Linked DNA regions of Canis lupus familiaris. The protein of the gene in region 1 interacts with the protein of each later gene in a biochemical or structural test. Links are inferred from orthologs where the notes say so. Each region holds a gene or a part of one and is shown in the gene's direction. Other genes may lie near its edges. The genes, in order: RHOA, DIAPH1, PKN2, CIT and SMURF1.

Region 1 (5,725 bases):
GAGTAAATGTTCCAGTCTGTTGTGAGGATTGGGTATCAAAGTATTAGAAATACACATATCAAACTGATGGGGGGGTGTGTGTGTGTGTGTATGATAGAAGTGCAGGTGGGCCTCGTGGAGGTTGTGAGTGATGCATCCTAGGGCAGAGTTTGAGGGTGGAAGAGATAATTAGCCATCAACTTTAAGGAAAAGATGTTACTTAGAAACTTTGAAATATGGGCTGTGAAAGTTCTAGGAGGAAAAAAAAAAAAAAAGGGTATTCCAAATACTAGGAGAGCTTTGAGCACCATGGGGTCGCTAAGCAGAAGATGTTAAAATCCCATTCTGGTTGTGAGAAATCACAGGGCTGGCTGCAGTGCTGGAGAACATGGAGGGGGACCTCTGTCCAGAGCCCAGGCATTAGCTTGCCCTCCTACCACAGGAAGGTGAGCAGGTTTCCAGGTGTGAAGGGAGTACTTTACTATCTTAGTGATGCTTTCATTCACATTTTTTTGAGCAGAAAAGGCAGGTCCAGAGACCTTTCTTGTCCACTGAGACCTTGCCTAACACCTAGCCTGGTGTCTTTTCTTACCCACCAATTCAAATACCATTTTTTAAAATTTTTTATTTATTTATGATAGTCACACACAGAGAGAGGCAGAGACACAGGCAGAGGGAGAAGCAGGCTCCATGCACCGGGAGCCCGACGTGGGATTCAATCCCGGGTCTCCAGGATTGCGCCCTGGGCCAAAGGCAGGCGCCAAACCGCTGCGCCACCCAGGGATCCCACCATTTTTAAAAAAATATTTTATTTATTTATTAGCAGAAGAACAGAGGGAAACAGAGAAGGAGGAGCAGACTCCCCATTGAGCAGGGAGCCCAATGTGGGGCTCTATCCCAGGACCTGGGACCATGACCTGAGCCAAAGGCAGATGCTTAGCTGACTGAGTTACCCAGGTTCCCCTCAAATAATCTTGTATCCATGTTTGCACATTGGGGCAAAATGATGAGAAAAACATAAGGAAAGGGTTATATTAGAATATATAGGGGAAAGTTACTCACGTCTAGTGTTTCTCTGTCATGTTTTGTATACTTGGTAGAATGTTGTTTATAGTTGATTTTCCTTGTTCATCTGCTTTTCTGTGTATAATGTTTATAATTAAATACTGTGCTTTTTACAAGATAAGTAATTTTTGACTCGATATTTTGAATTATGTACTTTATATACTGCTAGTATTTTGAGAAATTTCAACCTAAAATAATTTAAACACACCCTCTGCCTCAGGTTTGTTTTACTATTTTGGACTATTTGCCATATTCTGAAAGTGGGTAGGATTAACCTTGCATTCTTACGTTTATTTTTCCTATCACAGGTAGAGTTGGCTTTGTGGGATACAGCTGGGCAGGAAGATTATGATCGCTTGAGGCCTCTCTCCTATCCAGACACTGATGTTATACTGATGTGTTTCTCTATTGACAGCCCTGATAGCTTAGGTGAGTAGCCCTGCAGTCTGTTGTTTGTCACTGTGTGCCTGTCTGACACTGGTTTCTCAGGTCCTTTTTCATGCATCAACTGGTAAAAAGCAAAGATGAACTTCAGAGAAGGAGTCATCAGTGGCTGGAGTAGAGGCTTCGGACTATAGAGCCTAAGCCTTGGGTCACTTTTCAGCCTAGGTCTCCTATGGCTGCCATGGTCTCTACCTTGTAAAGTAGGTGGGTTATCAAATACAAAGCCATCTTTTGGACTAAGATATTGGAAAGGCTTTTTTGGGTGCTCACCTTTTTTTCAGTACTTCATATTGAGCCTGTTGCTTCCCGATATCAAGACTGGTGATTTGCTGTTTCCTGGTATTGTTTTTGTTTGTTGTTTAAAAGTTTATTTTTTTGAGACACAGAGACCACTCAGGGAGGGCAGAGGGAGAGAGAGAGAGAAGGAGACTCCACTGAGCATGGAGGTGGATACAGGGCTTGATTTCATGACCCTAAGATTATATCTGAGCTAAATCAAAGAGTTGGATGCTTAGCTAGCTAAGCCACCCCGTGCCCCTCCTGGTAATGTTTTTAAAGCCACATTTTAGCCCTTTTCTAAAGTATCTAGGCTAATAAGGAGAGACTTGAACTTGACCATTTCACTAGCTCAGTTGGTCACACATCTGAGAAGCCACTGTCCTTCAGAAAGAGACTGAATAACACTGACCTCACACTCTGCAGAACAAGGCACCGGGGCCTGAAACAGAACTTACTTTCAGTTTGTGCTGATAAGTTTGAAATGTCTCATGGTGGGCAGCCCCGGTGGCGCAGCGGTTTAGTGCTGCCTGCAGCCCGGGGTGTGATCCTGGAGACCCGGGATTGAGTCCCGCGTCGGGCTCCCTGCATGGAGCCTGCTTCTCTCTCTGCCTGTGTCTCTGCCTCTCTTTCCCTCTCTCTGAATAAATAAATAAATAAATCTTTAGAAAAAAAAAAAAGGAGGAAATGTCTCATGGTGATGTGCTGTCTTTACAAGGTAGCAGTAAGGCCAAGAATATTGTTATCATTAACACAAACCATCTTGGAGGGCCTGCTGGTGATTTGGGCTTGTGCTGGCCAGTTATGGTTATGTGACCTTTTTTTTTTTTTTCATGGTTATACTCATTTTAATGAAAATACTTGGGCACTCGCAAGAGTTTGAACCACTTTATCAAGGTTATGCAACCCAAGGAGTCAAGCTGAGACTGAGCTCTCTGTGCAGTGTCTCCCAGGACTGAGACAGAGCAAGTCCTCTCTGCCATTGGTTAACTTTGGTCATTTTCAACAGTTGTTTTAGTTCTGGGTTTTCAAACAAATCTGGCTTGCTTTGGGGGACTGTTGGAAGGCCCTAGAGGGTAGGACAGAGCTTCAGGTCACAGAAAAAACAGAGACATGTGATACCCTCCCTTCACACACACAACATAGATTATGTCTAAATCCTGTAGGAATGAGGAAGAACGTGTGCCCTCTATCTCATCATCCAAGGTATAATCCTCTAGGGACAGAAACATATTCGGAGCAAAATGTTACTTGTCTTCATGTCTCCTGGTCTCAAGGGAGGTCTTTAGCCGCCCCTCCCCCTTTTATTTAAAGTAGGCTGCCCAGTACAGGGCTTGAACCCAAAGCCCTGAGATCAAGACCTGAGCTGATTTCAAGAGTTGGATGCTTAACTGACTGAGCCACCCGGGTTCCCTTCTTTAGCTTTTGATTTCTCTTTACTAGCCATGAGTTGTTTCTTGATGGCCCTTCTCCCAGAAGGCAGGCCCTGGGGAGGAGAGCAGAGGTAGAAAGTAAAGAGGCAAAGAGAGATTGATCTCCTCTGAAATACAAACACACCTAGGGAGAGGGTCTGATGTTGGAGGATGCTCTGCCTTCCCTGGAGGTCCTTGCAAGAGTGTGATTGTTAGGTGGAGCTCCTTTGCTGAGCTAACTAGCTTGGCTTTGCCAAAGTACTTTTAAAAGTTCTATTGTTGAAGGTGCCTGAGTGGCTCAGTCGCTTAAGTGTCTACCTTCAGCTCAGATTATGGTCCAGGGTCCTGGCATTGAGCCCTGCATCAGGCTCCCTGCTCAGCGGGAAGCCTGCTTCTCCATCTCCCTCTGCCATTCCCCCTATGTATGCTCTCTGGCTTTTGCTATCTCTCTGTCAAATAAATGAAATCTTAAAGTTCTGTTGTCTTGGCTTGGATAGGGTGGGGCGAATCCCACCAGTAGTTGGCCGAAGTAAATAAAATGTGTTACGGGAACTCAAAATCTGGATCAAGAAAATAAAAAGCTATTGTCAATCTAATGTTATACTTTGGTTTTACTTGCTTGGATGTTAGACTATTGCCTTACCTCTAGGTATAGGATAACAATTTTGATCAGGAATCAGGATGTTGTGAAAGTTTCAGCCCTGCTGTCTGGACTGGCAGCTGGTCTAGAGTCTATAATACTAGTTTGAGACCTGGGGTAGCAAACTTACAAAAGACCGAATAGCAAATGTTTTAGGCTTTGTTGGCCATATATTCTAGTAAACTTTGCCACAACACTCAATTCCACTGTTGTATCACAAAAGCAGCCACAGAAAATATATAATGAATGAGTTTGTCTATGTTCTAGCAAATCCCCCCCCCCCCCTTTTTAAGATTTTATTTATTTTAGAGAGAGAGTTTGAGCGAGTCAGGGAAAGAGCAGAGGGGGAAGGAATGAGAATCTGAAGCTGACTCTGTGCTCAGCACAGAGCCTGACATGGGACTCAGTCTCACGATTGTGAGATCATGACCTGAGCCAAAACCAAGAGTTGGACTCTTAACAAACTGAGCCACCCAGTCTCCCCACTTACTTACTTACTTACTTATTTATTTATTTATTTGCACATGCAAGAGAGAAGATGAGGAGGAGGGGGAGAGGGACAAACAGACTTCTCACTGAGCAGGGAGCCTGACTCAAGGCTCTATCCCAGGACCCTGAAATCATGATCTGAGCTGAAGTCAGATGCTTAACCAACCAAGCTACCCAGGTGCTGACAAGATTTTATTTGTTGACCCCTGATCTAGATGATAAGGATTCCTTCTCCTGGTTTTCTGGAATTCCCAAAGGCCATCATACAACCCCACAGTAAATCCATGCAAGGTGCTATGCCCCAATGTGATCAGATTATTTTAGGGGTAGGAGAGATTATAGGTGATTGACATCACTGAATTTAAGAATAAAGTTTTGGGGCAACTGGCTGGCTCAGTCAGTAAAGCATGATACTCTTGCTCACACTGGGCATGAAGCCTACTTTAAAAAAAAAAAAAAAAAAATGGAGGGGATCCCTGGGTGGCTCAGCGGTTTGGCGCCTGCCTTTGGCCCAGGGCACAATCCTGGAGTCTCGGAATCAAGTCCCACGTCGGGCTCCCAGCATGGAGCCTGCTTCTCCCTCTGCCTCTCTCTCTCTATGTCTATCATAAACAAATAAAATCTTTAAAAAAAAATTATTCATGAAAGGAGGAGGCAACACAGAGGCAATTCATTTTAATTTTTGTGTCCTACACTCCCAAGGGATGGGGGACTATTGGGAGTAATAATTTCATATATTCAAATAATTATTGAGCGCCTATTTATGGAAGAAACTTCTAGATTGAGACAGAAGAGCAAATACAACAGTAAGTCCAAGAAACATAACAGTAGACCTGATAGCAAGAAATTTTACAGATAACATTCTCAGAAGTGGTTATGGGATGGGCCATGGTAGTATTCTGTTTCAGAGGATGACCATATAGGATGGTCAGCAACCTTGCTGAAAAGGTGACTTTTGGGAGAGACCTAAAGGAACTGAGAGAGGCCAAAACAGATACCCAACAAAAAAACCTTTCCAGGTAGGGAGAACAGCAGATGCAAAGTCACCAAGACAGGAAGAAGAAGGAATCTCAGTGTTGTAGCAGATCCCTGCCCAGGGATCCCTCTTTCCATATTCTAAGCAGTTCTTGCCTTTTGTTTTTTTTGTCTTGAAGTCAGAGAATAAACAGTTTACTTCTAAACTACAGCCTCAAATTACAAGCAGACTTTTTTTTTTTTTTAATTCATTCATGAGAGACAACGAGAAAGAGGCAGAGACACAGGCAGAGAGAGAAGCAGGCTCCTTGCAGGGAGCCTAATGTGGGACTGGATCCCGGGACCCCAGGATCACACCCAGCGTTCAACCGCTGAGCCACCCAGGTGTCCCAACAAGAAGACCATTTAAATGATTGTCATAGGGATACCTGGGTGGCGCAGCGGT
Region 2 (5,725 bases), on another chromosome or scaffold:
TTTTCCCCCAGGCATTTCCTGGGAAACTGAGCTCCTTAAAGAATTAGAACAAAGCAAAGAATTTTGGGGAGTAACATTGTTTCTTGCTGGAATGGGGAGCTCACTAGGGGCCTGATTCTTTTCTGCTTTAGCTGGACTCAGAGTTAACAGCCCGACATGAGCTACAGGTAGAAATGAAGAAGATGGAAAGTGACTTTGAGCAGAAGCTCCAGGATCTTCAGGGAGAAAAGGATGCCTTGGATTCTGAAAAGCAGCAGATTGCTACAGAGAAGCAGGACTTGGAAGCAGAGGTGTCTCAGCTCACAGGAGAGGTAATGTCTGAGCAGGCAAGGCAGAGTGACCTCCATGCCATCAGCAGCCTCATGACAGGCCTGTCTTACAGCAGGAGTCAGTTATCTTACTCCGGGAGAGGGTTTGACTACCAGTAGGTGATCTAGTTAGATGATGCTTATTTTAAAAATCATTTACTTTATTTTATTTTAATTTATTTTATTTTATTTATTTATTTTATTTTATTTTATTTTATTTTATTTTATTTTATTTTATTTTATTTTATTTTATTTCAAAACATACGATAGAAAATTTGGGAAAGATGAGCAATACGGAGAATAAAAGAAGTCACAGTAATACCCAGAAATGAAACTAATAGTTGTCTCATAAATTCAGGAGTAAAATCCAAAAAAACTCTTCGTATGTTTGCTAATTTTCTCTTATTTTAGCTGTTTCTGAACAGATTAATGTTCACACTCTCTTTGCAGTTAATATGATTTAAATGATCTAATGATCTGTGGTATCTGATATCTTGATCATTTATGTGGTTATTTCTTTAGAATAATTGATTTACTTGAACTTTGCTTTTTCTAATTAAAGGGACAATTTCACATAAAGGTTGAAGTTGCCTTTTTAATGCAAAGCATGCCAAACTAAGAACATGAAGACTTGAGTTCTAGTTTTGGGTCTGCCACTAGATATCTGTGTGACTTTGGGGGAATCATTTCATCTGTCAGACTCCTTTTAGTGTCTTCATGTGTAAAATGAGAACTCTGGACTAAGTAGTTTTTTAGGTCCTTCCCAAGCCCAGTAGACCCTGATGTGGAGTGAGGAATAATACTTCCATTGATGTTGTTCCTCTAGGTTGCTAAGCTGTCCAAGGAACTGGAAGATGCCAAGAAAGAAGTGGCTTCTCTCTCTGCTGCAGTTACTGCTGTGGCCCCTCCTAGCAATGCTACTATTGCCCCCACTCCTGGCATTGTTATTCCACCTCCAGCCCCTCCTTTACCAGGGGAGCCTAGCATACCCCCCCCAGCTCCTCTTCCTGGAGATGATACCATTCCTCCTCCACCACCTCCCTTTTCTTTGCCTGGGGGTGTTGGTATCCCTCCACCCCCTCCTTTGCCTGGGGATGGTAGCATCTCCCTACCCCCTCTGCCTGGGGGTGCTGGCATCCCCCCACCCCCTCCTTTGCCTGGGGATGCTAGTATCCCCCCACCTCCTCCTTTGCCTGGGAGTACTAGCATCCCCCCACCTCCTCCTCTGCCTGGGAGTACTGACATCCCCCCACCTCCTCCTTTGCCTGGGAGTACTGGCATCCCCCCACCTCCTCCTTTGCCCGGGAGTACTGGCATCCCCCCACCTCCTCCTTTGCCTGGAGGAGCAGGCATGCCACCACCTCCTCCTCCTCCTCTTCCTGGTGGTCCTGGAATCCCTCCACCCCCTCCATTTCCTGGAGGTCCTGGAATTCCTCCACCTCCTCCTGGAATGGGTATGCCTCCACCTCCGCCTTTTGGATTTGGAGTTCCTGTAGCCCCAGTTCTGCCATTTGGATTAACCCCAAAGAAGCTTTATAAGCCAGAGGTGCAACTCCGAAGGCCAAACTGGTCCAAGGTGAGAATTTCTCTCCATTTTTTCCTCAATAGGTAGTAAGAAACCAATTCAGTTTCCTATTTTGTATTTTGTGCCCAGGTAGGCTTCCCCCCCTTTTTTTTTCTTACAGATTTTATTTATTTATTCATGAGAGACACAGGGAAAGAGAGAGGCAGAGACATAGGCAGAGGGAGAAGCAGGCTCCATGCAGGGAGCCTCATGTTCCAGGACTCAATCCCGGGACTCCAGGATTACACCCTGCGCCGAAGGCAGGCACTAAACCACTGAGCCACCTAGGGATTGAAGGGCTTCCCTTTCTTAGGGCTAGCATCTGTCTTTCTCAGGTTCCACTCACGCTTATGTTCCTTCAGCACATATTAGGCATCTTCTGTATGCCAGACATCACTTTGAAGAATTCTTTGGGCCCTATACTCTGCTACAAAAGCTAAACAAATCCTTAAGTTAATGTTTTGGTCTTTCTTTCTCAGGGTATGAGAACCCTGCCATAGTAACAGAGAATTTGACAACAGTCATTTCATCAGTCTGCAAGCTGCTGATAGTAGTGCTGATCTGAAAATGGTGGATTTATGGATACACCCTGCTATCTCACTCCCCTATAAATGAGCTAAATGAGAGGATATGTTTGCATGGCACAGTATTGTCCCCACTATGTAATTGAGGCCCCTGTGATTCTGCATCACCCTTCTGCTTCCAGAAACCAAGTTAAAGGAGCTGAGGGATTTATTTATAAATTGAACAAATTTGTCATAGTTAGCCAAATTGATGGGAAAAAATGTTGTAGAACAAGGAAAGATGTAAAATAAAGCCTCGATTTTTCTAAAACTAGAGGATTTGAGGTTAGAAGGAGGGTAAGTAGCATAATTGGATCTAGCTCTTGAATAACACCAATAAAAAAAGTGGAAGCACTGTGTCTTGACCTTACCACAAAGAGTGCAGCTCTTCTGTGTCTCACATTAATCTTCCCCTAGTGAGACAATGCTGAGAACCATCACTCCCCTTTTTTGCATCTTAGTCAGTTTTCTAGGATGGAAAGTACAAGGCTCAGCTTAGTAACTCTGAACACCCTGCCTGTATCTACAGTTTGTTGCTGAGGACTTGTCCCAGGACTGCTTCTGGACAAAGGTGAAGGAGGACCGCTTTGAGAACAATGAACTTTTCGCCAAACTTACTCTTACCTTTTCTGCCCAGACCAAGAGTGAGTACCTTCCTCTTCCGTGCACAGGTCCAGTATAGGACTTAGAATATCCTTTAGGTGGATCTCCCATTCCATTCCTTTCCCTGGGTGAGAGTTGAAGAGAGGTAGTTTTTCCCCTTTGGAAGAAATTCAGATATTTTTGGATCCCAGGGATGCTGGGGTTGGGAAAGAAAACTGTTGCATTTTGTTATTTTTCTTTCCCATTTTTTTTGCATGTAGGTATTTTTTTTTTTTTTTTTTTTTTGTCATTATAACATGTTGGGGAATGAGAGTAAGGTGACAGGAAGCTTATTAGGGGGCCCATTTTGATAATACTCTTGAACTGATTCTGGTCCTGTCTTTAAGGTACCATCCCAGACCTACAAACTTAATTAATAAGGGTTGGGCCAGTCTTTAACAGGTTAGGTGATTGAGTGACTGTCTACAATAACAACCATATGTGATGCTTTTTCTTTCTTACATTTCTTTCCAATATCTGATGCTTTCCTCTTCCTGGCCCTTTGCTCCTCCAGCTTCAAAAGGTAAGAATACAGAAGAGCCTATTAATTGGGTATCGTGAACATTAGACAAAAGATGTAACAGATGTAAAGGAATTTCTTAGAAAACTGAGTTGAGATAGAGGATTGATTTATTTTCTGCCCCCCCCCCCCTTTTTTAAAGAGTCCAGAAGGACCAGTAACTGTGATATTAACTGACAGCATAGACAGTTGTTTTAAGTTTAGGTCAAAGCTGCCATATACTTGCTACATTCTGTAGCATGTTTGAATTGAATAGGTAGCTTGCCCAAGGTTAAATGACCAAATCCAGGGATCTTGTCTTCTGGTCCATGTGTGTGGGGTTTTTTTTGTTTTTTTGTGTTTTTTTTTTTTGGTATAAATTTTTGCTTTTCTTTTTCACCTTCATATCTTCCCGTTTGCTCTAGAAGAGCTGATCTGTTTTGCCCTCTTCTTTCTTCACTTCCTAATTCTTGTGGTTTTGTGCTATCTTGTGACAGGGCACTTGTAGTTATTTCCTTGAGGGATACAGTATTTGAATTTAATGACATTCGTAGCATAATCATTTTGTATTTCCATCTTACAGTGTCTCTTCGTTTCCTTAGAGGTATATTATGACCCTAGTGATGAAAATTAAGTGCAACTTTTGAGCATTTCCCCCTCTTCTCTCTGCCTTCTCCCCACCCCCAGTAAATAAACATTTATTCTTTTTTTTCCTTAAGTGAACTGATGGAACCAGGCTGCACTTTGTTCTCTTACGGAGCCTAACATTGCTAGGTGCCTTTGGTGGCCTCTAATTATGTGTGTGTATCTGAGAGTGTAAGATCGCTGTACCCAGGTGTGATCTCTTGCCCTTCACTCAGCGCAAAGTGGCCTTGTACTCTAGAAGCACTGTCATCTTCTGAACTAAAGCTCAGTCAAGAGGATTACTTCTACCTGTTTAGTGAAAAATACTGTGATAATGACCACTTAGGCTATTCTTGTATATCAGTGAAGACTAGTTGACCGAGAAACTCAAAATCAAATGACTTCCTAATTTGTAAGTTCACAAAATATACACCTACGTTGGCCTGTGGCATAAGGCCCTTTCTCTGAGCATCTCTGTCCTCTGAGCATCACTGCACACTCACACTGGGCAGCCCTATTCCTCCTGCCTGTCACCCCCTTCTTCTGTACATTTGCATTACTAGGGATTATAGTTAGGTGGTTTGCAGTTTCATGCTCTTCCTTGGCATTTTATTCGCACTGTGAATTGATAGTGTTTTAAAAATACCCAAGAAGACCATATCTCTTTCGTCATTTTTAGCAGTGTAACCAGATTTCTTTTTTTTAAGATTTTAGTTATTTATTCTTGAGAGACACAGAGAGAGAGAGAGAGAGACAGAGAGAGAGATTGAGGCAGAGACACAGGCAGAGGGAGAAGCAGGCTCCATGCAGGGAGCCTGACGTGGGACTCAATCCCAGGACTCGAGGATCACGCCTTGGGCCGAAGGCAGGCGTTGAGCCACCCAGGAATCCCAAGTAACCAGATTTTTTAATGTTCCTTCAGCTCTCAGATTCTGCCCTGGAAACTACTTTCTTTTCATGGAAGGTTCTAACTTTCTACCAGCCTTGGCTCCCCCCTCTAATTATTCTTAGAAAACTCTGTGTATTACTCTGATTTTAAAAAATGAATGTGAATTAGTCATTTTAATTTAGTGGAATACTGATCTTCAGGTAGTAATCTGCACTACTAGATTGCTGCTGTTGTGATGGAGGAAATTTCTAGCTTGTCTTTATCTTTTGCTTCAGTTAGCACTTTGAGGTGTTAAATTGACACTCTAATTTCTTCCTCTTTTCATTAGGACACACTAGGGGATGTGTTCTTGAAAATTACTAAATCATGAGCAGTTTCCCACACATTCTAAATCTTAATGATTTTAAAGAAATGCCTGGGAGAGGTTTGTTTTTTTTCCCTGTCAAATATAATCCTGAGTATTTGTTTACCTGTTTCTGACCTACTTGCAGCACTCAGCACATCAGAACTTGCCTGCTGCTTGTCGCCCTTGCTACGTCTATATTTTCATTCATTTCCTCCCGAAAAAGAACTACCTCCCCCTTTTAAAAATTATTTCTTCTTTGGATTTTTAATATTTTACCGACTTTAATGCTA
Region 3 (5,725 bases), on another chromosome or scaffold:
CCTCTTGTTTGACAAAACTAATAGCCTCTTTGCCTTTCCTCTCTCTAGATTTTTTTTCTGCTTCAAATCAACCTGTCATGTAGTTGCTAAAATGGAAAAAGGGCCCATGTAAATAAAAATCTGACCATCGGGATCCCTGGGTGGCTCAGCAGTTGAGTGCCTGCCTTCGGCCCAGGGTGTGATCCTGGAGTCCTGGGATCGAGTCCCACATCAGGCTCCCTGCATGGAGCCTGCTTCTCCCTCCGCCTGTGTCTCTGCCTCTGTCTCTCTGTCTCTTTTTCCCTTTGTTCATTTGTTTTGTTTCTTAAATTCCACACGAGTGAAACCTTATGTATTTGTCTCTCTCTGACTTATTTCAATTAGCATTATACTCTCTAGCTCCATCCATGTTATTACAAATAGCAAGATTTCATTCCTTTTTATGACTAAATAAGATTCCGTATTGTGTGTGTGTGTGTGTGTGTGTGTGTGTGTGTGTGTGTGTACATCTTCTTTATCCATTTATCTATCAATGGACACTTGGGCTACGTCCATATTTTGAATATTATAAATAAACATAGGGGTTCATATATCCTTTTAAATTGTTTGAGTGTTTTTATATTCTCTGGGCAAATACCCAGTAGTGTGATTACTGGATCATAAGGTAGTTCTATTTTTAATTTTTTGGAGAACCTCCATACTGTTTTCCACAGTGGCTGCACCAATTTACATTCCCACCAACAGTGCATAAGGGTTCTTTTTTCTCCAGATTCTCGCCAACACTTGTTTCTTGTGTTTTTTAATTTAACCATTCTGACAGGTGTGAGGTGGTATCTCATTGTGGTTTTGATTTGTTTTTTTCCCTGATGATGAGTGATGTTGAGCCTCTTTTCATGTGTCTATTAGTCATCTGTATGTCTTCTTTGTAGAAATATCTATTCATGTCTTCTGCCCATCTTTTAATTGGATTATTTGTTTTTCAGGTATTGAGTTGTATCAGTTCTTTATATATTTTGGATGCTAACCCTTTATCAGATTGTCCTTTGCAAATATCTTCTCCCATTCAATAGTCTGTCTTATACTTTGGTTTATGGTTTGGTATAGAAGTTTTTATTTTCATGTAGTCCCAATAGTTTACACTTGCTTTTTTAAATTTTTTTAAAGATTTTACTTATTTATTTATTTATTCCTGAGAGACACAGAGAGAGAGGCCAGAGACACAGGCAGAGGGAGAAGCAGGCTCCATGCAGGGAGCATGATGCAGGACTGGATCCCAGGACCCTGGGATCACAACCTGAGCCAAAGGTAGACGCTCAACCACTGAGCCACCCAGGTGCCCCTACACTTGCTTTTATTTCCCTTGTCTCAGACGTATGTAGAAAGACTTTGCTATGGCTATTATCAGAGAACTTACTGCCTGTGCTCTCTTCTAGGATTTTTATAATTTCAGGTTTCACATTTAGGTCTTTAATCCCTTTTGAGTTTATTGTATGATGTAAGAAAGTGGTCCAGTTTCATTCTTTTGCATGTAGCTGACCAGTTTTCCCAGCACCATTTGTTGAAGAGACTTTCTTTTTCCCATTGCATATTCTTGCCTCTTTTGTTGAAGATTAATTGGCCATATAATTGTGGGTTTGTTTCTGGGGCTTTCTACCTGTTCCATTGATCTGTGTGTTTCTTTTTGTGCCAGTACTATAATGTTTTGATTACTATAGCTTTGTAGTATAACTTGAAATCTGGAATTGTGATAACTCTAGTTTTGTTTTTCTTTTTCAAGGTTGTTTTGATGGCTAACTCCTAGTTATCCAAGGATTTGCTTTTTTGGTATTTTCTATACCAAATGTTATTTTTCTAATGAACCAAATAAAATATTTGAAAGACTGAATTTGAAAGATAATAGAAATTGAAGCTAAAAATCAGTTTTTTGTTATAACTTCTTAGCATCACTTCTAAAGTAATGACAAGAGAGAAAATAAGTAAAATGAAATATAAAAATTTTATTACCCTTAATACCCTTGTTAACTTAACTTTGAACATTCTAAGCATGAATAAATTAGTAGCTGAGTAAATGATTGACCAAAATATTTATTTTTACCTATTAATTAAATAGTAGAGTTAACTATTGCACAGTTTTCTCTACACCAGTCCTAATATTTTCTTTAGAAGTCTGATATATCTTGAGTTTGATCACCATACACAAATGTGGAAATTTAATTTTGTTTCCTAGGGATATAGTCTGATGTTTTATCTATCATCTAGGTTTTTTCTTTGCTAACAAATACTTAAATTTTACCTTTTCAGGAATGGGATATGGAGATAGAACAAGCACATTTTGTGGCACTCCTGAATTTCTTGCCCCAGAAGTATTAACAGAAACATCCTATACAAGGGCTGTAGATTGGTGGGGACTTGGTGTTCTTATATATGAAATGCTCGTTGGTGAGGTAAGCAGTATAAAATAGATGAGAGAGAAATGAGGAAAGATGACTGAAAGAACAAAAGATGTCATTTATAAATGACTTAATGTCTCCCGCATAAGTAGAACTTAAGTTTTATACACATTTATAATATACTAATAATTGCCTATGATTCTATCTTGTACTCTATACCTCTATACCTGTAACAAAAAGTCAGCTGTGTGTTGATCAAAATACATATTATCTTCAAAAACAGTACCTCAGAGTTAAAAAGATTAACATTTTTCCCCTCCTGTTTTTTTTTAGATTAACTTAAATTTCTTCGGGGGAGGGGGCACCTATGTGGCTCAGTCGATTAAGTGTCTGATTCTTGGTTTCAGCTTAGGTCAAGATCTCCATCATGAAATCAAATTCTGCATCCAGCTCCTTGCTCAGCATGGAGTCTGCATAAGATTCTCTCCCTCTCCTTCTGTTCCCCCCCACACCCCTACTCATGCATGTGTTCTCTCTCTCTCTCTCTCTCTCTCTGAAAAAAATAATCAATTTATGGAGATAGCTTAGTTTTACACAGAAATTGTCACTCCTTAGGAAACGGTGAGTTATATCTAATAAAGCAGCAAGAATTGGCTAGTCTATTTTGTTATAAATTGTTGGAAATGATAGAGTGGAATTGGGAAAGGGTAAATATTTAGACAAGTCATTGAAAACTGCTTAGAGGGGCTTACTGATTTGGGGTTGTAAAAAATGAGGTTGGTTCATTATTTTGCAGGTTTCCCAGTACCAGCAATCTTCTTTGAACATTCTAAGCATGAATAAATTAGTAGCTGAATAAATGATTGACCAAATTATTGAATGTCAGAAATTTCCAAAGTATTATCATTTAATGATATTTGTTCCAGACAAAGGATTTTAATCCATCCAAACGATAGCCCTTTTGGTATGTCAAATTGGAGTGGATACTTAGAAGAGGAAAAGAAATAGCTAATTAAAATGTTTACCATGTGCCAGGCACTATTTTATTTACTTTACAAATATTAGCTCATTTAGCTTTTCAGCAAACTTTAACAAGCTCAATACTAGTCTTAGGCCCATTTTAAGGTATATAAATGGAGGCACAAAGAAGTTAATAACGTGCTTGAAGTCACAGAGCTCTCGTGTGATGGAGCTGGGATTTTTAAGGCTCTCTGTTTTAAGAACCTCTCTAAACCATTATGCTTTGCTACGTCAGAGTGTGGAATTAAGTTACCAAAAATTATATGCTTGCTTAAAATTTATTCCACATATTAGAGCTGATAGGCAAAAAATGTGAGTTTATTATAAAATACTACAGAATTAAGAACCAGTTGATTCTATCTCCTCCTATCCTAAAATGACTGGAAAACTTTGCAATGGACAAATGAAGCTCCTGTTCTATATTTTTTTAAAAGAGCCTCTAATTGATTAACCTCCTAATTACAAGAATATAAAAGACAAGGGATTCAGCTCTTCCATCACAAATTTTTATTGCAATATCCGTTCTCTTTAGCACCTTTGTAAGAGGATAGTTGGGATAAGAACTGAACTTAAAACTTAACCATCATACTTTATAATTTTTTTATACTTTATAATTTTATAGCGTTGGTAAAATTTTAGCAGTAACTACTAACTGTGATAAAAAGGTTTGGCTAAAGTTTATATCTAATTTCTCTATTATTACAAATAATTGAAAACTCACTGGATATATCATGCATTTTCAAATTTGTTTTTGAAATTTGTATTTATGTTTCTTTGGGTTTTGAGAACTAGAAAGACTCCAGGAATAAACTAACATACTAGGTCCTCTTTCCCAGTGCCAAATGAGAATGAAAGTATCAGAGAAGTTTAAAGTAAGCTTAGATACTGAACAGACCATTGCATTCTTTTTATATTTGCTTAAAACACATTTGTTAGCATTCTGTTGTTAGTTCTACTAGCTTATAATCGATTTGCAGAAACAAGGAACTTTAACACCTTAATGAATATGTGGGTATATCTTCACTATTCAAGGATTTGTATTTTTTAAATACAAAATTGATCAGAGAGACCAATGCTTTGTGTTACCACTTGAAATTCTGATTGAGAATCCATGTGAAATAGAATTTTCCTCTAATTTGCAGCTGCCTCAATCCCAGAAAGAAATTATATTATCCCACATAGTAGATATTTGATTTATCTATTTGATTTATCTATTCTGAGTGAGTGAATGAACAAAACTAAGGTTATGATCATTGAAAAGTTTGAAATTTCCTTAGATAAGAGCAATAAAATTGGCAGCTCAGCTTTAGGAAGTTGGGTTCTAAATTCATTTTCATAGATTCAGATCAAAGATCTTTCTCTTTCCAGTAGTATTGCTTTCTCTTTGGTCCTTAATCATTAATAACTTAACAGGAAGTAAGCCTGTAAAGAAGAAGTAAATCTTAAGTCCTCTCAGATTGTGAGGTAATAAGCCATATTTCATAGCCACATTTCAACATGGTTTAGCTTGTCCCTTTGTGCATCAAATGGTTATACTGAATGTAATTTAACTACTTTTTTATGACTTAGGGTCATTACTTTAAACTCTGCTTCCTGAGATACCCTAAGACTGGTTGTATATCAGGCTTAAGTTAAAAAAGCCTAATGTATGCTTTTGAGTGTAATTTCGTTGGCATCTGCTTCTTAGTGCAGTCATTATACCTTTAAATCTCCTATTGTGTTTTGCTAATTAATTTGTTATTGACTGTGATGACATTCAAAGCACATCCATATTAAATGTATTCCCACAAACTCTCTGCTTCTATGGTAACACTTATTACTGTATTTACCCATTTCCTTCTGTCTTTCCACAAGATTGAGCTTCTTGAGGAACATGTCGATAATCTAAATGATTTTCACTATCTAGTAGCACTCAAAATATTGACTGTTAGGCCAGATACATGAATGAAATAAAATAGAATGGAATTAAATGAAAGATTGTATTACTAATATAACCAAATTTGCTATTAAGGTCTGGGAAATAAAGTTGAAGAAGATTTCAATGAGACTATGTGATATATCATCTGGATAATAGATCTATCTATTCTGACTTCTTGTAGTCTTTGTTTGGTGTTTTGGTATTTCCTCACTACCTGGTTCTTAGCTGTACTTTGGATGAGTGATAAGATTTTTTGAAATTCATTTTGACTTACTCAAAGATATTTCTTCTAGTCTCCCTTTCCTGGAGATGATGAAGAGGAGGTTTTTGACAGTATTGTAAATGATGAAGTAAGGTACCCAAGGTTCTTATCTACAGAAGCCATATCGATAATGAGAAGGGTAAGAATTAATGATTT
Region 4 (5,725 bases), on another chromosome or scaffold:
AATCCCCCCACTAGTGTTAAAGCTTAATATCAGGAAATAATTCCCAGTAGATTTTTAATTCTTTTGTTTTTGACGTAGGTGAAACATCGTTGATGTAGAAATCCTTGTTCGATTTATGTATTCACAAGTCAGGCGGTCAGCATAGGTAGTGGTGTCGAGCTGGGTTTGAATCCTGGCCCCAGCGCTTGTTAGCTGTGTTACCTGGGGTGACTCCGTTGCCTTCTCTGCATCCATTTGCCACTCTGTCAAATAGAGGTTATAGCACCAAATTCACAAGGTTATCATGAGGATTAAATGAGATAATTTATATTAAGCGCTTATTAGTTATAATACTGATCAATTTATGTTTACTTAGCAATAATTATATTTAGGAAGGTGTTTATGCAAGGATACCTGTACAATGATAAATACTGATACTTTCTTGATGACATTTCCCCCAAAAATATTGGTATTGGGGAATGTCCAAACAGCTCAGAATGGAGACAGATCGAAAGCTTAGGTTGTGGTGTTAGGACCATTCCTGTTACGGTTTTAAGTCATGAGATATTTTTCAAAAATGAATAGTTTGTCCCTAACTGTAGGTGACTGGAGTGCTGCTGTGCTTTAGTTTCTTTACATTTAACTCCAAAACTTTTCCAATTTATTACAAAATTGACTAAAGGCATTATACTGTGCTCCATATATAATAATTGTGGCTTCCAATGTGCTGGGTACAGAACCAGCATGCTCCTGATTATCTTACTTCAGCTTCATAACGGACGTAAGGACTATTCTTATTTACATTTTAAGTAGGAAGAGACAGATACTGAAGGAGGCAAGGACTTGCCCAGGATCACGCAGCTTGTAAGTGACAGAGCCAGGTTCCATTTTTATTCTGACAACAGAGGCTGGGCATGTAACCACTGGCAACGCTGCCAGCATATGTCAGAGTTTATTAAGTGTGTATTATATTTAAATGTCATTATAACAGTAAGGGTTGGGGGTAAATCCCCGGTTTATCTTTTTTTCATGATGAGTTCTTCCCTGTCCCTGGGAAAGCAATTATTCACAAGCGTACCATACACCTAACATTTGCCTAACCTGGTATGGATACTGTTCTTTTCCCATGTAATGTAATTTTAACAAGGTTTAGGTAGGATAATGATTTTGTTTTCCATCTAGGTAAGGACTTTAGACTGGGTCTTAGTTTCTACTTAACATTATACTTAACCTGCCAAGGAGTTCTGCGTCAGCGGTCAGAGACTTCTAGATTTTTGAGCCAGCGCAATTTCACAGATTTGCTAGGCTGACATAGGTTAACCAACTTTTTATTTTGTCAAGTAAGAGATGTAAAAAGGATATAAAAAAACAGATATAGAGAAAAGCCTATTACGTTCTGGTCCTTTCATTATAAAGAAGGGACATTTTAAGAAACAGCAGAGAAAGGAGACATTATTTCAGAATAAAAGAGCACTTTAAAATATGAATATAGTTAGCCTTATAGATAAGTCATCATGTGCTGGTCATGTTTTCTCATTTCGTGGCAGACTGGAGAACTTTGTTAAACATCAGCATGGTGGTATTTTTGGGAGTTTGTGACAGAAGTATAACTAAAGTGACAGGTATGGTGGCTTGTGGCCCAGGGCTTCTCATACTTGGCCGAAGCTTGAATCTCTTGGTGAGCTTGTTGATAAAACATGTTCTAAGCTACTAACTGGGAAATTCTTGTTCAGTAGGTCAGGGATAGCACCAGAGTATTTTGTTATTGTTGTTTTGTAGCTAAATTCTTCAGGTGATTCAAATGTAGCCAGCCTGTTTCTATTATCCAGTGTAAGAAAACACTCTCAAAGTTTAAAGCAGTAACGATTTATTTTTTCTTCTGATTCTGTGGGTTGTTTGGAATCAGCTAGGCAGTCTTCCTGTTCTACCCCGTGATATCAGCTGGGGTCACTCAAGGGGCCATATTGTGTTGGGAGCTTGGCTGGGGCTGGAACATCTGGGCACTGCCTGCTGGCTGGTGCATCTCAGTGTCCCTCCAGCTGACTTCTCTATGAGGCCTTTCATTAGCCAGTAGTCTGACCCAGGCCTTGTAACTTTCTTTTCTAAATAATAAATATTTTAGGCTTTGGGGTAGCTGCAACTGTTCACCTCTGCCACTGTAGCACAAAAGCAGCCACAGACAATATGTAAATGAGTGGGTCTGGCTGTGTTCCAATAAAACTATTTATAAAAACACAGTGGGGCCAGATTGGCCTATGGACCATAGTTTGCTGACCCCTGGTCTAGCCTAAGCTTTTTTACATGGCGACTGGCTTCCCAAAAGAGCAAAAGCAGAAGCTGCTAGCCTCCTTGAGAGCTCTGCCCTGAACTGGGGCAGTGTCACTTGTGTCACCTGTTGCTTGAAGCAAGTCACAGAGACAAATTCAAGAGGAGGGGAAATAGATTGTTAATGGAGTGGTGGCAAGCACATGTAGAGATAAAGGGCCTGTAGGGGGCCATCTTTGCAGAGATATCACCACACAATCCATAGCCTGGCACATAGAGATCATTTTTTAAAAACAATTTTTATTTATTTATTCATGAGAGACAGAGAGAGAGAGGCAGAGACGTAGGCAGAGGGAGAAGCAGGCTCCATGCAGGGAGCCTGATGTGGGACTCAATCCTGGGACTCCAGGATCACGCCCTGGGCCAAAGGCAGGCGCCCAACCTCTGAGCCACCCGGGCATCCCAGATCATTTTTTTTTTTTTTTAAGATTTTATTTATTCATGAGAGAGAGAGAGAGAGTGTCAGAGGCAGAGACAGGGAGAAGCAGGCTCCATGCAGGGAGCCTGATGTGGAACTCGATCCTGGGACTCCAGGATCACGCCCTGGGCCTAAGGCAGGTGCTAAACCACTGAGCCACCCAGGGATCCCCATGCACATGGAGATCATTGCTCTAGACCAAAGGTTGCAAACTCATGTCTTTGGGGGCTAGGCAGTGAGTATGAGTGAGTCACATGGGCCCGATAGAAGACTGGCAGTCAGATCTACGGTGAACTGCAGAACACATTCTCTACACAGAGGGGCAGCATCACTCGAGAGCCACTGTTTTTTTTTTTTTTTTGTAAAGATTTATTTATTTATTCATTAAGAGAGAGCGAGAGAGAGGCAGAGACACAGGCGGAGGGAGAAGCAGGCTCCATGCAGGAAGCTCGATGTGGGGGACTCGATCCCGGGTCTCCAGGATCACACCCTGGGCTGCAGGCGGCGCTAAACCGCTGCGCCACCAGGGCTACCCGAGAGCCACTGTTTATCACCAGACAAGAATGTGGGACAATCACATCGGGCTCCTTGCATGGGGCCTGCTTCTCCCTCTACCTGTGCCTCTGCCTCTCTCTCTCTCTGTCTCTCACAAATAAGTAAATAAAATCTTAAAAAAAAAAAAAAAAAAGAATGTGGGGCAATGTGGCTCTATCCTCCAGTGTTTCAGGAGAACCCCCAGATCCTACCCCTTCTTTCGGGTAAAATTTCCTTATTTTTCAATATTGGCAGATAATTCAAATTATTTTAAATGCTGCAGGCCCAACAAAACATGTCTGTGTGGGTTAGATGCAGTCTGCCAGTTTGCAACTGTTGGTCTGGATTATGAAGAAATTCAGCTTTAGAATGGTCACTCTGCCCATACTACTCTAGATTGTTTGAGAGCATTAAAGAAACTGCAGTTGGGACGCTGGGTGGCTCAGTGGTTGAGTGTCTGCCTTTGGCTCAGGGTGTGATCCCGGGGTCCTGGGATTGAGTCCTGCATCAGGCTCCCTGCATGGAGCCTGCTTCTCCCTTTGCCTATGTCTCTGCCTTCTCTCTCTGTGTCTCTCATGAATAAATAAATAAAGTCTTTAAAAAAAAAAAAAAGGGAGGTCATTGTCGTTTAAAAAAAAAGAAAAAAAGGAACTGCAGTTATATTAGCAAGCCTCCAGGCACACTCAAAAGAAGTAGCAATCATTGTGTCCTATTGTAGAGACATGGAAACATGCATGTCGTAACCAGCAGGGTCCAGAGTAAATGTTCCCATGAGCCTCAGACTGTTAAGAAAGAAGAGCCTTTTCTTGTTAATGGCATGCTTGTGAAGCTTTTCTTCCCAGGTGCTGGTGGAAGAAATCCACGGTAATGGAATCGTACAAGTGATAACGTAATGACTCTCAATTGATGTTGCTTTAAAGAATGAAGCCCCAGAATTGTGCTGTTAGCGTGTGTCGTGAGCAGTTAGAGTTGGTGGCTTGTAATTTACTCTGTGTGGATGTTATTGATCAAAGCTTTTCATTATTGACAGTGTCTCCATCTGCTGTTTGCTGTTTTTAGGGGAAACCACCCTTTCTGACTCAACAGCAGATGTCTCCTCTTTCCCGAGAAGGGATATTAGATGCCCTCTTCGTTCTCTTTGGAGAATGCAGTCAGCCTGCTCTGATGAAGATCAAGCACGTGAGCAACTTTGTCCGGAAGTGTAAGTTTGGAGAAATTTTTCTTGAAAACCATTCTGCCAGAGAAAACTGCAAAGATGCTGGAAGCCAAATGAGTTAGTGGTTGGTGGTAGTGGGTAAGAACTCTGCTTGGAGGAAGAGAGACCCAGTTTCTTTCTTTTTTCTTTTTTTTTTTCAGACCCAGTTTCAAGGTCAGTTTCTATCTGCTGCAGTTAGGAGGCCAGATAAGTTAGGTCTCATGGTTGCAGGTGACAGAAACTTAACTCAAACTAGCTGAGGCCAAAAAGTGAATTTAGGGCTCATGAAACTGAGAAATCTAGGGTTGGGTTAAACTTTTGGTATAGCTGGTTCCAGCTGTTAAGCAGTGTCCACTGGCTCCATCCTTATACCCACTCAGGGCTGATAATCTAACAGGCATAGCAAGCACAGTGCTTAGAGCCCACAATATTTAATTTTAATAAATTGAACCTCTTTTCACTAGTTAAATTAATTTTGAAATAATACGAAAAATATGGTTATAATAATAATGATTTGGGATTTTATTCATCTTTATGACAATGTCATCATAAAATATAATTTTGACTTTTTTCATAGTTTCTTTTTTTTTTTTTTAAGTAGGCTCCATACCTAGCATGGAGCCTGACATGGGGCTTGAACTCATGAAATCAAGGGGCTTGACCCTGAAATCAAGACCTGAGTTGAGATGAAGATTTGGATGCTTAACTAACTGAGCCACCCAGGCGCCCCTTGACTTTTTTTTTTAATGGAAGAGGGGGCTGAGGAAGGGAAAGGTGTCCGGCCCTATGAAAGGCATAAATTGGCTGTGCCCACACCCTGTTCTTGTCTTCCTTGAGATGGAGGAGTTGGCTGCCGCTGTCTGAGTCCTAGTTTTGTATTCGATTACCTTACATCAGTGTTTTCCAACCAGTGGTGATTTCGCCTTCTCTAGACTCTTGGCAATGTCTGGAGGTATTATTTGTTGTCACAGCTTAGCAGGGGAAGGGTGCTACCGGCATCTAATGGGTGAAGCCAGAGATAATGCTAACCTTCTTGCAATGACAATAGCCACCACAGCATAAAATTATCTGATCCAAAATTTCAGTAGTGCCAAGTATGAGAAACCTTCCCTTATACAACTTTGCTGTGTAACCGGGCACCCTGAACTATTGTGGCCTAAAACAGTAATCATTGTCTTACCTCTCATGAATCTGGGGATTGACTGGGCACAGCTAGGATTTTTCCACTCCATGTGACTTGGGCTAAGATTGTAGGCACCCAGGACTCTCCTAGT
Region 5 (5,725 bases), on another chromosome or scaffold:
ACAATGAAATGATTGGAATATATAGGAATTCTGAAAATAATTTCTTCTTATATATTCCATCCAAATTTTAGAACTCTTAGAATCTAATCTTATTAAGTATTAAACTTTTTTATTAAATTACAAAAAGTAATGAATGTTGTGGTACCTGCGTGGCTCAGTCAGTCGAGTGACTCTTGATTTCGGTTCAGGTCATGATCTCAGGGTCATGAGATCGAGCCCCGAGCCAGGCACCATGCCAGGCATGGAGCCTACTTATGATTCTCTCTCTACCTCTGCCCCTTCCTTGCTTGCATGCGCACTTTCTCTTTCTCGCAAAAAAAAAAAAAAAAAAAAAAGTCATAAATTTTTATGGCAAAATAGAATTTGACAAGATAGAAGATTATGAAGGGCAAAAGTCATTCTTATTCCCTGTCTCCCCAGACTCTGAAATATCTTCTCCTCACTTAAGTGTTAGAAACATGTTAAAGTTGGAAATTTAAAAAGTATCTAGAAAGAACCAAAAGAAAAATGAAAGTGCCCCAGACTGCTAATTCTCAGGTTAACTATTGTCAACGTATCAGCGTAAATCCTCCTTTTTCTCTTTGCTCCACGGATAGTTTTTTCCTGTTGTGTGTACATGTGTGTGCATGCACACTCTTTTTAAATAAAAGTAGGATCTTAGTTCTTATTGTACTTTTGTCCATCATTACCACATCATGAACATCATCACCTGAGATGTGGATCTTTGCACAGTAGCAAAGAAAACTCCAGCTGAGGTGCAGGAAAGCTGACAAGATACGTGTCGAGAACATTGCTTGCAGGAGGCGGTCCCGATTCTGGTCCATCTGGTTCATCAGCTTCAGAACCATCGGGGTTTGGGCCATAAAAGCCATCTGTCATTCAGTCAGAAGTGAGTTATTACTTCCCAATCAATCTGTGCAAGTCACTTTCTTTCAGAGCAGGACATCCCTCCAGTGTGGCCTTCCAGGGCACAGGCAATGAGTCTTTTGGGTAAGACATAAGATTAGATATTTCACACGTATAAAATGGCTTTCATGTTATTGTTCCTAGGGAGTGGCTTTATTTATTATGCCATGAAATGTTGAATCCATATTATGGACTCTTCCAATATTCTACGGACAACATTTACATGTTGCAAATCAACCCGGATTCTTCAATTAATCCAGTAAGTATTCACGCTTATAAAGAGGGAGTGAATTGGAAAATTTTTGTAAATAGATATTCAGGTTTGGTCTCAGTTTATTCATTGTAGACTTATGCAAAGTCTCTGACAATAGATACTGAAAGGTAGAGTGGGAACTGGATTGAGATGGAGGCTTTCTCTCCTGTGTGTCCCATGCCTGGGATCACTGGGTATTTTGTTTTCAAAGACAGAAGTGAAAATGAGCTGCTCGGAATGCTCAGAGCCCTTTAATCACCAATTGGGGGAACTGAGGTAGTAGGACTGTGTTTGTTGACCGTGTCATTCTGAGACGTGGGCTACATAGTCGGTCCTCCTCCTAATCAAAATGGGAACTTCCCCAACTGGCCTTTTGGGCCACCAGTGCTGATAGTCTTAGCTGCTTGCTTGAGAGGAGGCTGTAAGTGTGGAGTGTTTGCGTGACCAGCCCAGAGTTGGGCAGCAGGTGTTTGGGGGCTGTCCTGTGGGGCAGGGCCCGTGGTCACCGCTACCGCTACCGCTGCCGCTGCCGAGGCCAAGGCCCCTGAGGCAAAGCCTGGGACCAGCTCTACACTACAATCATTCAGGTGTGACAGAGTTCTTTACCAAAATGGAAATGAGGTTTTGATGAATTCTGATTATAATTCCAATGGAAAGCAGAGATGTGTGTTTTCCTGTGAAAAACCAGAGCAGCTCTAGTTTTAGAATGGTCCTCTTACACTTATTTTCCTTTCTGTTCCTTTTTTGCTGTTTCTTCTTCTTTGCATTTTTTTCTCTTCCACTTTCTCTAGGGACTCGGGGAGGGATGGTAGAAGAAGGAGGGGATTTGCCATCTGCTTGCTTTCTCTGTGGTGCAGCAGGGAGACGCGGGGCCAGCTTCCTGGGCACCTTGCTCTTTGGAGGACCTGTGCTTGGTTTCATTCCCTGCAGTTGCTGTGTTGAAATCCTTAACAACTTTGGAGTAAGGGGCCCTGCATTATCCTTTCACACGGAGTGCCGCCAGTGACGTAGCAGTCCTGAGCAGGTGTCTGAATTAAGGGCATGTAACATGTTCAGATGATCCATGCAGAAGACGTGCTCCAAGTTTTGACCACCTAACCTGCTCTCTTTCCTATGTCTGAGAGCACAGCCTGTGAGGGATGGAGTCAGGGCCTGGCTGCAATGAGACAGTTTTCCCAAAAAGCTTGGAGGCAGCACAGGGTCTCTCCACTCTGGCTCTGCCTTTTTCTAATGACTTCGTGTTCTCTGGTGCCCCCTACAGGACCACCTGTCTTATTTCCATTTTGTGGGCCGGATCATGGGTCTCGCTGTGTTCCACGGGCACTACATAAACGGGGGCTTCACGGTTCCCTTCTATAAGCAGCTCCTGGGGAAGCCCATCCAGCTCTCGGATTTGGAGTCGGTGGACCCAGAATTACACAAGAGCTTGGTGTGGATTCTGTAAGTACAGCCTCACCGTTCAGTTCATGGAACATTCGTGCACAGCCACCCATCTTGTGTGCCAGACTATCATTCTGTATGTGTGTGTGCATGTGAATGCTTTTGAGGGGTGGGTGTGAAGTTGGTGCAGAGAAATAAAGAAACACTGATTTACAACCAGAAACATAAAAGAAGATTTAACAAGAAATACTCTGTTGACTGGCTTTTTTCATGATGTTTGGCCAGTTTCACTTCATAGGCTCATTTCTTTTGCTGTTTCCTCACATTTTTCAGGTCTGATCACAATTGGTCCCCAGGCCTGAGAGGTGGGTGGGTGGTTTGCTTTTGACTCTCTAGGGGGGCTCTGGTTAGCAGGTGGAGGGAAAGTATCAAAAACAAAATCAGCATCAAAGTATCTTATGTCAAAGTATTTGCTACAAGAAAAGTATCAAGAGAAATTATATTCAGTCACCTTTTTTTTTTTTTTTTTTTTTTTGTTTATGATAGTCACAGAGAGAGAGAGAGAGAGAGAGGCAGAGACAAAGGCAGAGGGAGAAGCAGGCTCCATGCACCGGGAGCCCGATGTGGGATTCGATCCCGGGTCTCCAGGATCGCGTCCTGGGCCAAAGGCAGGTGCCAAACCGCTGCACCACCCAGGGATCCCCATATTCAGTCACCTTTGTTTCAGAATTATCGTGGGCAGCCTGGGTGGCTCAGTGGTTTAGCATCTGCCTTCAGCCCAGGGCGTGATCCTGGAGACCCGGGATCGAGTCTCATGTCGGGCTCCTTGCATGGAGCCTGCTTCTCCCTCTGCCTCTCTCTCTCTTGGTGTCTCTCATTAATAAATAAATAAAATCTTTAAAAAATAAAAATAATTTTAAAAATTTAAAAGAATTATCCTAACATACCCTTGCAAGCAGTGGGCCCAGTTGCATGGTGAGCAGCGTGTCACAGGTCCTCACACGTGAACTGATCCCACAGCAGCGGGAGATCCAGGCTCTGGCAGAGGGAGAGTCTGGTCTTGCACTCTACCTCACTTCACGTGGCCCTACTGGAAATGGGTAGTCTGTGAGGGGCAGGGAGATATTTCCCTCTGTTTCGAGAAGTGTGGCAGGTGGAGGAGCCCATCGAGACTCTCATGTGCTACTTTGTGTGAGGGGCTGCCTTAAAGGGGCGGGAGGACAGTATCATCTGAGTGTATCTCCCTGCAGGTTGCTTTCTCATTGACTCGGCTCTTCATGCATCCCTCTCTTCTGTTTATAGACTCTGTTTACAAAGCAGTCAGGTCACTGTGTCTTGTAAAATCACAGGATGACAGAGCCACTGTCACCTTCCTGTGAACGAGGGGAGCCAAGTATCAAGGGTGCATCGTGGAACCATGGTCCCCCGGCACCTCCCGCTCCAAGTGTCCCTGGCCTGTCCCAGGCCCTGTGTCTGCCCAAGGCTCCCCACCTGTCCCCACTCAGCTCTGGGGGTAGCAGTCAGTAAATGCCATTGGTCCGTCCATCCATCTCCTGGACTGTTCCAGCTCCTGTTCTGTTCACAGCTGTATTGTGGCCATGGTCTGACATCCGTCTTCTGTCCTAACTTCCACAGAGAGAATGATATCACCCCCGTGCTAGACCACACTTTCTGTGTGGAACACAATGCTTTCGGGAGGATTCTTCAGCATGAACTAAAACCCAATGGCCGAAATGTTCCTGTCACAGAGGAGAACAAGAAAGAATATGTCCGGTAATGTTCCAGGGAACCGTGGTGGCTGCCCATGGGGACGTCCAGATGCCTGGGACCATCCTGGGTTCACATTTAGATTGCCAAAGTTCCTTCGCTGTTTGAGGCTTACCCATCCCGGCCGGCACTTTTGATCAGAATCACAGTCATAGAGCAGTCGGGTTCAGCAGTGGGGCTCTGTGCAGAGGAGCCCCGATCCCACCAGGGCTGACCTGGTGAAGGGAGACTAATGAGCCCAGAACCCAAGTGGTGGAAGGGATTGCAGGTGGCCTTCCGATCTGGGTGTGAAGGTGGTGGGCGCAGGAGAGACTTGGAGCCTATTAGTTTCCTTGAGAGCAGTCTCCAGGAAGTCTGCTTCACTGTGGTCTGTTTTCCTTCCCACCTCTGATGGCAAATAAATGACTAGTCATTTACACTAGAAATCTGGAAGCATATGGGCTTGTCGGTGTGCTTAGGCTGCCAGACTGGTGTGTGGCTCTCACGGTGTCTCGTGTTTTATTTTCAAATCTACTTTTCAGTTATGCCACTTGCTGTGACAGGTCAGGTTAATTCCTACTGCTGTTTTTAGCAAAGCACGAGAATATGTCAGGGCCTGTGCTGACTTATTTTTAACCTGGTACTTCCAGCTGGTGGGGGTTTGGTGCCCCCCAGGGGAGGCCTGGTGGGCAAGGCATTAGCTTCAGCAGGTGATGTCAGAACCTATTGTGAGGAAAAAATCTTTCCCGTGAACTATTTGCTATTGGCTTTAACTTGTGACTTTGTCTTCCAGGTTGTATGTGAATTGGAGGTTCATGAGGGGGATCGAAGCCCAGTTCCTCGCTCTACAGAAAGGGTTTAATGAACTTATTCCTCAACACTTACTGAAGCCTTTTGACCAGAAGGAACTAGAGGTGTGTGCTCAGCGGGACGAGCCAAGTTAGCAATAGAGGTCTCAGATGCCTTGTCTGACAGTGTGGCTTGCCTGCTCCCCAGCAAGGCTGGGGATTGTCAGGGTTCCAGAAGAATAGAGCTAGAGCCAGTGGGAGTCGAGGGTGTCTGAGCCTGTTTATGTCCACGCCGAGGGGCTGTCTGCTTTGGTGGAGTGAGTCTAGATTCTTCTCTGGATGTTGTGTGGGGCGTTCTGTGTCTTATCATATTTTTTAGGAGCTCTAGCCCTGGAGGTTCCTAAACCCCCTCCTGTGTATCCACCTCAGAGGGAAGAAATTATCTGCTCTCACCAGATTCTCCCACCACGTCAGCTTTCTGTTTTGGCTCTTGCTATTATTAGACTCAGAACAAAGTGTTACTGTCTTCTCTAATCACACTTCATGTGCTCGAACATAGTGGTTCATTCATCTCTAATCCACCTCCGATGCCAAATGGCTCAGGGCTCTGAAATCCTTCTGTCTTTCTGTCCCTGGTGAGGTGTCACCCGCG

Evidence for each region.
Region 2: the proteins of RHOA (region 1) and DIAPH1 form a complex in vitro, tested with the Homo sapiens proteins (2 studies listed by BioGRID and IntAct, with this or other methods). The link is inferred for Canis lupus familiaris from reciprocal best matches to the Homo sapiens genes RHOA and DIAPH1.
Region 3: the proteins of RHOA (region 1) and PKN2 form a complex in vitro, tested with the Homo sapiens proteins (2 studies listed by BioGRID, with this or other methods). The link is inferred for Canis lupus familiaris from reciprocal best matches to the Homo sapiens genes RHOA and PKN2.
Region 4: the proteins of RHOA (region 1) and CIT form a complex in vitro, tested with the Homo sapiens proteins (2 studies listed by BioGRID, with this or other methods). The link is inferred for Canis lupus familiaris from reciprocal best matches to the Homo sapiens genes RHOA and CIT.
Region 5: the proteins of RHOA (region 1) and SMURF1 form a complex in vitro, tested with the Homo sapiens proteins (2 studies listed by BioGRID and IntAct, with this or other methods). The link is inferred for Canis lupus familiaris from reciprocal best matches to the Homo sapiens genes RHOA and SMURF1.

The regions. Positions count from the first base shown.
Region 1 is NC_049241.1:40,286,113-40,291,837, forward strand, and holds part of RHOA (transforming protein RhoA), read left to right. Parts: intron 1-1,352; coding exon 1,353-1,473; intron 1,474-5,725. UniProt on the Homo sapiens protein: Small GTPase which cycles between an active GTP-bound and an inactive GDP-bound state.
Region 2 is NC_049223.1:35,675,654-35,681,378, reverse strand, and holds part of DIAPH1 (protein diaphanous homolog 1), read left to right. Parts: intron 1-131; coding exon 132-311; intron 312-1,134; coding exon 1,135-1,884; intron 1,885-2,943; exon of another isoform or gene 2,944-2,964; coding exon 2,965-3,079; exon of another isoform or gene 3,080-3,195; intron 3,196-3,591; coding exon 3,592-3,600; intron 3,601-5,725. UniProt on the Homo sapiens protein: Actin nucleation and elongation factor required for the assembly of F-actin structures, such as actin cables and stress fibers. Binds to the barbed end of the actin filament and slows down actin polymerization and depolymerization.
Region 3 is NC_049227.1:60,077,373-60,083,097, reverse strand, and holds part of PKN2 (serine/threonine-protein kinase N2), read left to right. Parts: intron 1-2,280; coding exon 2,281-2,423; intron 2,424-5,600; coding exon 5,601-5,708; intron 5,709-5,725. UniProt on the Homo sapiens protein: PKC-related serine/threonine-protein kinase and Rho/Rac effector protein that participates in specific signal transduction responses in the cell.
Region 4 is NC_049247.1:16,225,615-16,231,339, reverse strand, and holds part of CIT (citron Rho-interacting kinase), read left to right. Parts: intron 1-4,315; coding exon 4,316-4,457; intron 4,458-5,725. UniProt on the Homo sapiens protein: Plays a role in cytokinesis. Required for KIF14 localization to the central spindle and midbody. Putative RHO/RAC effector that binds to the GTP-bound forms of RHO and RAC1. It probably binds p21 with a tighter specificity in vivo.
Region 5 is NC_049227.1:10,566,790-10,572,514, forward strand, and holds part of SMURF1 (E3 ubiquitin-protein ligase SMURF1), read left to right. Parts: intron 1-1,050; coding exon 1,051-1,165; intron 1,166-2,420; coding exon 2,421-2,599; intron 2,600-4,174; coding exon 4,175-4,312; intron 4,313-5,078; coding exon 5,079-5,199; intron 5,200-5,725. UniProt on the Homo sapiens protein: E3 ubiquitin-protein ligase that acts as a negative regulator of BMP signaling pathway. Mediates ubiquitination and degradation of SMAD1 and SMAD5, 2 receptor-regulated SMADs specific for the BMP pathway.